Caenorhabditis elegans: one gene and its partner. The protein of the gene in region 2 interacts with the protein of the main gene of each other region in a pairwise test. Each region holds a gene or a part of one and is shown on either strand. Other genes may lie near its edges.

The links. Proteins that work in one complex are often made in the same cells at the same time.
Region 1: the proteins of C05C10.5 (region 2) and ZC239.15 interact in a two-hybrid assay, tested with the Caenorhabditis elegans proteins (one large-scale study listed by BioGRID).

Annotation. Positions count from the first base shown.
Region 1 is NC_003280.10:3,222,686-3,227,141, reverse strand, and holds ZC239.15 (BTB domain-containing protein), read left to right. Parts: upstream 1-2,410; 5' UTR 2,411-2,498; coding exon 2,499-2,609; intron 2,610-2,654; coding exon 2,655-2,924; intron 2,925-3,237; coding exon 3,238-3,349; intron 3,350-3,391; coding exon 3,392-3,597; 3' UTR 3,598-3,809; downstream 3,810-4,456. Other genes in the region: ZC239.17 (Potassium channel tetramerization-type BTB domain-containing protein), read left to right, coding at 1,262-1,660; ZC239.16 (BTB domain-containing protein), read left to right, coding at 1,857-1,967, 2,016-2,372; ZC239.13 (BTB domain-containing protein), read left to right, coding at 4,328-4,438.
Region 2 is NC_003280.10:9,936,696-9,941,277, reverse strand, and holds C05C10.5 (uncharacterized protein), read right to left. Parts: upstream 2,239-4,582; 5' UTR 2,052-2,238; coding exon 2,010-2,051; coding exon of another isoform or gene 2,006-2,009; intron 1,965-2,005; coding exon 1,861-1,964; intron 1,813-1,860; coding exon 1,471-1,812; intron 1,415-1,470; coding exon 1,264-1,414; 3' UTR 846-1,263; downstream 1-845. Other genes in the region: ufd-3 (Ubiquitin fusion degradation protein 3 homolog), read right to left, coding at 1-65, 115-427, 473-517; C05C10.7 (uncharacterized protein), read left to right, coding at 2,343-2,392, 2,443-2,676, 2,731-2,823, 2,868-3,135; C05C10.3 (putative succinyl-CoA:3-ketoacid coenzyme A transferase, mitochondrial), read left to right, coding at 4,390-4,567.

The DNA of each region.
Region 1 (4,456 bases), 6.7 Mb from region 2:
GACAATTTAACTTGAAATATTGGTCCCATGGAACCTTGTAATCAAAGAAAAACGATTTGATTCCTGATAAGCCTTCCATTGTTTCCTGCTGCATATTTTGCCAAATCAGCTTGACTACACAGTCGAAACATCTAAAGTGCGTGCTAGGAATTTTAGTAGGAACTTGTTAAAGAGAGTTTATCAAGTTTTGGCATTACCGAGAGCACCAGGAAGCTTGAAACAGACTTGAACATCAAAGATCGGAAGAATCAGAACCAGTCTGGAGATCCCACGAGAACATTTCGTATTAATTTTTTAAAGTCAAAACTGCTTATATGAACTCATTTCTAACTCAAACTTGATTTGAGCTTTGTCAAAAATTCCAAAATCTGTTGATTTTAGTAAAAATCGTGAAAAAAAACGGGGGGTCCTATAGAAGTTTCACACTGGATTTTGACGTTTTTTCCAGCGCGACCTCAGTTTTTGAGATAAACTTCTGGAAAAAAATTTATATAGGTTTTTTTCAATTTAAAAACGAACGGCATTAGCAGTTTTTCGAAAAAATTTTCGGAAGTTCCTCAAACCTTCAAATTAGGGGGGGTCCTATAGAACTTTCCCACACTGTATGATTATAAAAACAAAAAAAAATGAAGTTATAACCCCAATTTTAAACTGTAGTGTTTTGAAAATTTTTGGCAATTGGAATCTTCGGAAACTGCTGGTTTCAAAAAATATGGGAAATTTTTCAATTTTTTGTGAAGCTGCCAAAAACTTCAATTGCCGAAAAATTTCGACTGAGGTATTGCATTTTTTATTGGAAATTTTGAAATTTCAGTTGTAACTGCAAAATTACACGTATCTTACATGAAAAATGAGAAAAAATATATTAGAATTCTTGCTGAAAACGAGAAAAAATGTCAAAAATATGTGTCATCCGTTTTTTCTTATAAAAATTCCTTCAGAAATTTTGCACAATTTGCAAAAGCGGAAATCGGAAAGTTTTCTATACATGTCTTGAAAAAAACTCCACCGCCACTATTTCCTAAAATTTGTTAAAAATATAAAAATGGCTGTTAATTGCAAATCGATAGACTTACTGATAACAAAACTTCATCTCACTTTCTTCATTTCTCTTCCCCACAATTTTTTTAAAAACTCTCCAAAAAATGTGCGAAATTATTAAACTAGACGTTGGTGGAACTATATTCAAAACTTCAAAAGATACATTAACGAAACTCGATAGCTTTTTTAAAACTATGTTTGAAAGTGATATTGCGGTATAATGTTGCTGACTATATTTCTCCAAAAACCTGAACATTTTCAGCCGAAACTCGAAAAATCCGGATGCATTTTTATTGATCGTTCCCCGAAACACTTCGAGTTAATTCTGAACTTAATGAGAGATGGGAATCTGTGGTTGCCCGAAACTGAGAAGGAATTGAGAGAGTTGTGTGCGGAAGCAAATTACTATCAGATGTTTGGACTGTACAATAAGTGCGGTGTGAAACTTAGCACTATAATAAACTTCCGAATGATTCAAAATCAAAAACCAATAACTAAAAATAATAGTTATACTCGTTTTTTTGTTTTTTCATTAATTTTTTTGGTATTTGTGTATTACATCCCTGCACTAAAAAGCTATTTTATTGTTGAAAAATCTAGTAAATGCTACCTATTTTAGTGGCTATTAAACGCAATTTTCATTGTATTATGCTATCATAGAAATGTGAACAGACCCGAACGTAAACCTATTATAGTATGGAAAAAAATCAATTGAAAACACTGATAACTTCAAATCGATCGACTCACTGATAACAAACCTTCATTTCACTTTCCTCTTTTTCTCCTCTACAATTTTTTTCAAAAACTCTCCAAAAATGAGTGAAATTATTAAACTAGACGTTGGCGGAACTATATTCAAAACTTCAAAAGATACATTAACAAAGTTCCATAGCTTTTTCAAAACTATGTTGGAATGCAAAACTGGGGTATGAAAATCGTTGTTTTTTTCCAAAAAAAAACGTGAAAATTTCCAGCCGAAAATTGAAAAAACCGGATGCATTTTCATAGATCGGTCCCCGAAACACTTTGAATTGATTCTGAATTTAATGAGAGATGGTGATCTGCCACTGCCAGAAGATGAAAGAGAGCTGAGAGAATTGATGGCAGAAGCTCAATTCTACTGGTTGGATGGTCTAGTCTTAATGTGCTGTGATAAACTTAATTCTACAAAAAAGGTCCAAATTGATCAAAGAGCAAACACTAAAAAATATGATTTATCATGGTTTTTTGTTTTTTCAATAATTTTTTTGGTTTTAGTGTTTGTGTATTACATGCCTGCACTAAAAGGCTATTTTATTGTTGAAAAAAGAAATAAATGTTATCTTTTTTAGTTGTTGGAAATTTTAATTTTTGTTAAAAAAAATCATTTTGAAATATGTACTGATCGATAATCTTATAACTGATAACAAAATTTTACTCCATCTTTCTCTTTTTCTCCCCTAGAAAACTCTTCGAAAATGAGTGAAACTGTGAAATTGGACGTTGGTGGAACTATATTCAAAACTTCAAGATCTACATTAACAAAGTTCAATGGATTTTTCAAAACTATGTTGGAGAGTGACATTGGGGTCCGATTTTTCCAAAAATTTCCCGATAAATTTTCAAATTTTCAGCTAAAAATTGACGAATCTGGGAGTATTTTTATTGATCGGTCTCCGAAAAATTTCGACTTGATACTGAACTTTATGCGAGACGGCGACGTGGTTCTACCCAATTGTGAATTGAAACTGAAGGAGCTGCTAGTAGAAGCTCAATTCTATTTGCTCGACGGACTCATTGAGTTGTGCAATTCAAAGATTGAGCTTGTTGAAGCTCCAAAGATAAAACTTCGATTTATTGAAAGCGATGAACAATTTCTTCAAATTCTTGCTGTTCAACAGAAGGTGAGTTTCGATAAAATAATGTAGTTTTTCAAATTCATAGGAATATCTCAGTCGGTAGTGGTAGCTGCTAGAAAGCTAGAGGTTGCGGTTTCAAGTTTAGACTCATCCCCTAGGTTCACCCAGTCTGTATTGGAGAGTGGAGCAATCCATGACTGTATTATCGGCCACAGTCCCTGGCTAGGACGTGGCTTAAACTATAGGCCAGTGCAAGCTGTAGTCCTAATAGTAAGGCCACACTGTATGGCGTTTGTCAATCATAAAATAATTAACCAGTTTCTTCAAAAAATTTCAGCTCTACATATAATTTTTACAGCCAATGCTCATAATTGAATTTTGCATGGTTGGGAATGATATGTCGATTCCCTATAACTTTAATCTTTACGAGTTCATGGAAAAGTATTCACATCAGTTCGATATTTATTTTCGTAAGTTTTTTGTACATTATCCTCATAAAATAGTCAATTCAGAGCGATTGAGTGAAGACGAACCTTCTCGCAAATGGAAAGCAAGGATAAAATGGAAACCTACTGAGAATGGATATTACAGTCAATTTCCACACAATCTTCGAATTAATCGAGGTGGACGGATAATACGGGATGCAACATTTTTGGAACGATTGGAAAAAATGATCGGGGAGTTTGATGAGTATTTGAAGAAGCAGAGGAATAGATAATTAACTTATTTTATGGATTTTTCGACAATATTTCTAATTTAGAAGCTTAAAAAATTATAATTTAGTAAGCTTGTTTTTTTATCTTTAAACACAAAACACATGGATAAGTTCAAAGTCTGATTGATAACAAACATTCTTATTTTTATTTTTTGAGTTTGGTTGCATCTGTGCCTCAAACCGTAACTATTTTAAAATATGAACAAGGTTGTTAAACTAGACATCGGCGGAACTATTTTTAAAACTTCAAGACCGACATTAATAAAATGTGATGGATTATTCAAAACTATGTTTGAATGTGAAAGGGTCTGATTACCGTAATCGATTAAGAGCGATTGAGTGAAGACGAACCTTCTCGAAAATGGAAAGCTAGGATAAAGTGGAAATCTACCGAGAATGGATATTATAGTCAATTTCCGCACAATCTTCGAATTAATCGAGGCGGACGGATAATTCGGGATGCAACTTTTTTGGAAAAATTAGAAAAAATGATTGGGGAGTTTGGTCAATATTTGTATTTGGAGAAGCAGAGAAAGAGATAATTAACTCATTTTGTGGATTTTTTGACAATATTTTCAATTCAGAAGTTTTTTTTTATTTCTTAACATTTTTGATTTTTTTGTAAAAAAAAAAACAAAATTTCGCAACACTGATAATTCAAAATCGATCGGCTCACTGATAACACAATTTCACTCCGTTTTTCTCTCTTTTTCCTCTCAAAAACTTTTCAAAAATGAGTGAAACTGTTAAACTAGACGTTGGCGGAACTATTTTCAAAACTTCAAAAGATACATTAATGAAACTCGATAGCATTTTTAAAACTATGCTGGAATCTGGAACAGGGGTTTCATGATATTGATTT
Region 2 (4,582 bases):
GACGTTGGAATCCCACGAACCACTCAGCATGTGAGTCGCTTTTTCGTTAATGTGAAGACAGCAAACTGAAATTATTCATTTTGCACTTTTGAATATTTTTTAAAGCAAAAATACCATTCTGTTTATGCTCATTGAAAATTGCATATGGTTCCGCCTGACTCGGGCCAAAAACTGCAATTGTTCCATCTCTTCGGCCAACAAAAAGTCTCCATCCGTCCGCTAGTTCAGCGTATGCAATGGAGTTCACAGTTATTCCTTTCGGTTGTTCAAAGGCGTGCGTTTTCGTATACTGTTTTCCTTTTTTTGCCCAAAATTTAACCGTCTCATCACGACCACCCGATATCAAGCATCCGCCTTGAGTAACTGCCAAAGCCTTTGTGTCGGATTTGTGGGCTTCAATAACATGGGAAATTGTGTACTGTGGCATCTGCAAAATAAATTCCACTTCAATTCGGCAAATTCTAAAACTCACACTTTCCGTTTCCATTGGCACGTCACCGAGACCGTCATCTGCCATTATCTGAAGAATAGCTTTTAATTAAAGTTAATCAACAAAAAAATATAACGAAATTGAGAAAAATCCGAAAAAGTTTTGATGACAAACTGCAAACGATGCTCCGAACTAACGCCACATGGAAGAGGATTTCTACGACCCCGCAGTAGGCAAATTTGCGGGAATTCAAAATTTAACACTGATAGGATGCAATTTTTTGGAGAAGGGCATTCAGATTCGCTTAAATAAATATTTGAAGTTTCACAGAACATCAAGACTTTGCAAAGAGTGTTAAAAATTCAATAATTAAAAATAAATAATACTTTTATCGGCAAACTTTTTTTAATTTAGTAGGTTTTTTGAGAGCGAAATTTACATCGCACTAGATAGTCTCGAAACAGGAGTGATACCTTTTTAATTCTTCAAAAAAAAAACAAGAAAGGAACCGAGTTTGATAGACAATTGATTTATTTTTGTCCTACGCAAGTATAAATGGGGAAACGGTGTTGGTTCATTATAAAACAACATAAAAACGCTAAAACAGCGATACCAATAGACTACAAACATTAAACGAAAGTTATTATTGCACACAACTAATCAATGAGTGGGGTGGATTCAAGAAGATTGATTATATTAAGGAATTATAGGTATATCACAATTATGACTCATGGCAACAATAAGGTTTAGTAAATTTTTTAAAGATAAAAATGCGATCTCAACTGGAAAAATGTGGATAAAACGTTGAGGGGCAGCAATTTCAGTCCTGGGAATCATGTAGACAGATTGCCGACCTGTCTGAAGATTGATTTACCGCTATCCGGAAGTCGTCCCATTCGCTGCAGAATGATGTACTCGTCGGCTGCTGGAAGTGTATCCTCCGTTGGCATTTCGTCGAATGGCCCAAGATACCGGGTTTGCGATCTGAAAATTTTAATATTTAAATTGAGCCTAAAAACAGCTAGAAAATCCAAACTCACTTGGCAAAGAACTCTCCAGGTGTCAGAAGACCACGGAAGAAGCGATTGAAGTCCTTTGGAATCGCACGAACTCCTGGCAATTGTGTCGGGGAGAGTGCTCGACGACGTGGCTGCCCATTGTCGATATTTCCTGCACGCATATTCTCTTGATTTATGCGATTTGCAGCGTCTTGTGCTGGTCTTCTGGCGTCATTGGCGTTCAATTGCCGCAATGGACGCCGCTCTGGAAGTCGAATCGGAGCCACACGGTTGACACGTGGCGGCGGTGTCCGTCTGATCGCTCTTCTGACGTCTGGTGATGGTTCACGTGGTGGCGGGCTTTGCGATCTTCTGCGGTCAAGCCTGAATAATCTTATTATAGAAACAATTATATAACATTTTGGGACAAACAATTCTCTCCATCCCTTTTCGCTGAGCTCCGAGGCTCTGGTCCATCCACTGGGGAAGATTTGGAATGGATCTGCAGGCGGGGGACACAGAATATCAGCTTCTACCTGAAAATATAAATATTGTAAACGAATTTTAATTCAAGAACTCACAGCACGCAACTGGTCCCAGCGATTTCCATGAAAATGCTCCATAATTAGTGTGTGAAATAGGTGAGAGGGAGAAAAAATGGGTCTGTGGAATGAATGACAAGCGAAAATTTAAATGAAAAAATCAGAATTTTCCCGCGCATAATTTTAATTTTCGACTGATACACTTTCATCGGTAAAATAGAGGCAGATCAATAAAATAAGTAGGTCGAAAATAATTGTTTTTGTTTTTTTTTAAACGCGCGCGCACAAATAGTTCAAACACGATGACGCAAAAATACACAGTTTCGCAGTTTTTTTAAATTTCTTTTGTTTTACAACACTCTTTTCTGAAAAATGTCAGATTTTGACGATTCTGATTCAGAATTTCAAGGATTTGAGCTAAGGTTTGTTTTATTTTAATAACTAATAATAATTCTAATATTAACTTTTACAGATCACCTCAGATCCATGTAAAAGAATTCTTGATAGTCGAAGAAGAAACTCCAAAAATCATCAAAAAGGAAGAGGTTCCAAGGAAGTTCGAATCCGAGTTTGTTGGCTCATTTCTGGGAGAAAGTCCAGTTGTACTTTCAAAAGAAACAGCGTTTGGAGAAGCTGGAGAGTCGGAAGTTCTGGATTGGGATGCCAGTACAGTTTTCAACAGCCTAGCTTGCCCTGAAAACAACCTGTGCGTTTTTTAAAAGTATACATTTTATAAAGAATTAAATTTGCCTTTTTCCAGAGAAAAGTCAGTATGCGTCATTCGTCTCCACGACGTCCTCACAAAATCCGAAATGGGAGTACACAAAATGAAGCGACAACTTATTCATTGCGGGTCGGTCTTGGAAATCAAACTTTTCATCAATTGTCAATTTTAAGACAGCTCCTTGATGAATATTCTCCTCAACAACGTCGTGATTTGGGCTTTGATGATTCTCAAAATGTGAAGAATCTTCTTCAAATGATCCGAGCGTTCCGGTCAACTGTTAAAATCATGCTGATCGACGTGGAGGATCTTCAGGACCAGATTACACAAGAAGCGCAAGATGAGACCCCAATTATATCCAAATTTTCGAAACTTTTATACGTTTCCGGTGCATTAGCCGTCATTCCTATTTGTTGGTTTATGTACCGCAGATTTTGTTAAGTTATCTTTTAAATCTTGAATAAAAATTTAAAAAAAACATATGTTTTATTAAAATTGCTCTTATTCGTAACTATGTACGGATTTATATATATTTTTTTAATTGTACAATTCGCTAAAATGACAGTAAACTACATTTGAAAATTTTATTTAAAAAGAAGCTAACGTCAGTAGCACACTTGTGTCCTGGCCACCTGTCTCTGTTGCCCTCCCATCCTTATCACAGATCACACTTCAAACATCAAACTTCTCAAGGCAGAACTCCTCCCAAATATCACCCGAATTTTTCTTCTCAAAACTTTTCGCCAGTCTCACAACCACGTGTTTCCCAGACCTTCAGTTAACTTCACTTCTCATTTTCCCTGATTTTCTGTCTGCGTCTCTATAAAAAGTAGACAAAAAATGCGAAAAAGAAACGTTTTTGTGTACTCAAGTTGTGACACACTCGCTCAGACTATTGGCTACTGATGGTTTTTAGTTTTTTTTTTGCTTTAGACAATTCTACCTCTAAAAATTAAGATTTTATAACAGTTTTCTAAATTTTTATTAGTTCAGTGAATTTATCATGATTTTTCTAGAGCCCCATCGGAATTAACATTGAAAATTTTACCCAGACGCGTTATTTTTGCAACTTTTGTACTAAAAATACAGAACCCGGTCTCGACACTGCAAAGTTTGTTAATTGAAAAAATATGTGTACCTTTAAAGAGTACTGTAGTTTTAAAATTTCGTTGCAGCAAAATTTTTATATTTTTTCTCGCATTAAACTTTAACTGTTTTTATTGTTTTGTTTTAGTTTTCTTGATAATATTTTGAAATACTTGAGATAATTGAAAAACTGTGAAAAAATCTATGAAAATCATACAGAAACGATAGTTTGAAATTACCGTACATTTTAAAAGCGCACTCCTCTTCGCGTTATTACGGGAACAATAAATCATGAGAATGCGTACTTGGTACCGTAATAAATAAAAAATTGTCGTGTCGATACCGGGTTTTATTATTTTCAGTAAATGAGACGTTCCCATCACTAAAACGTTTTATTTGTACGTTTCCGCTACTTTATTGTAAATAATATTGATAAGAAATCAAATACGCAACACGGAAATTGTTATCGAGTATCAACACACAATTATAATCTTTTCTACTTAATACCGATTCCTTGTTCCACAAATTTGACTTTCTGGTTTTTCCATCTTATAATCCTAAATATATTGTTTCTTTTTCCAAAATTAAAAAAATTTTCATTCAGATAAAATGCCGATTCTCTCAAAAATATGGGCGGCTCCAGCAGCTGGAATCTTGAGAAAAACTCCGAGAAATGCTCATCAAATGAGGCTAATCTCAATGACATCCTCGATGAAAGCAAAAGTCTTTAACTCTGCCGAAGAAGCCGTGAAGGATATTCCAGATAATGCAAAGCTTTTAGTTGGCGGTAAGATTTGGAATT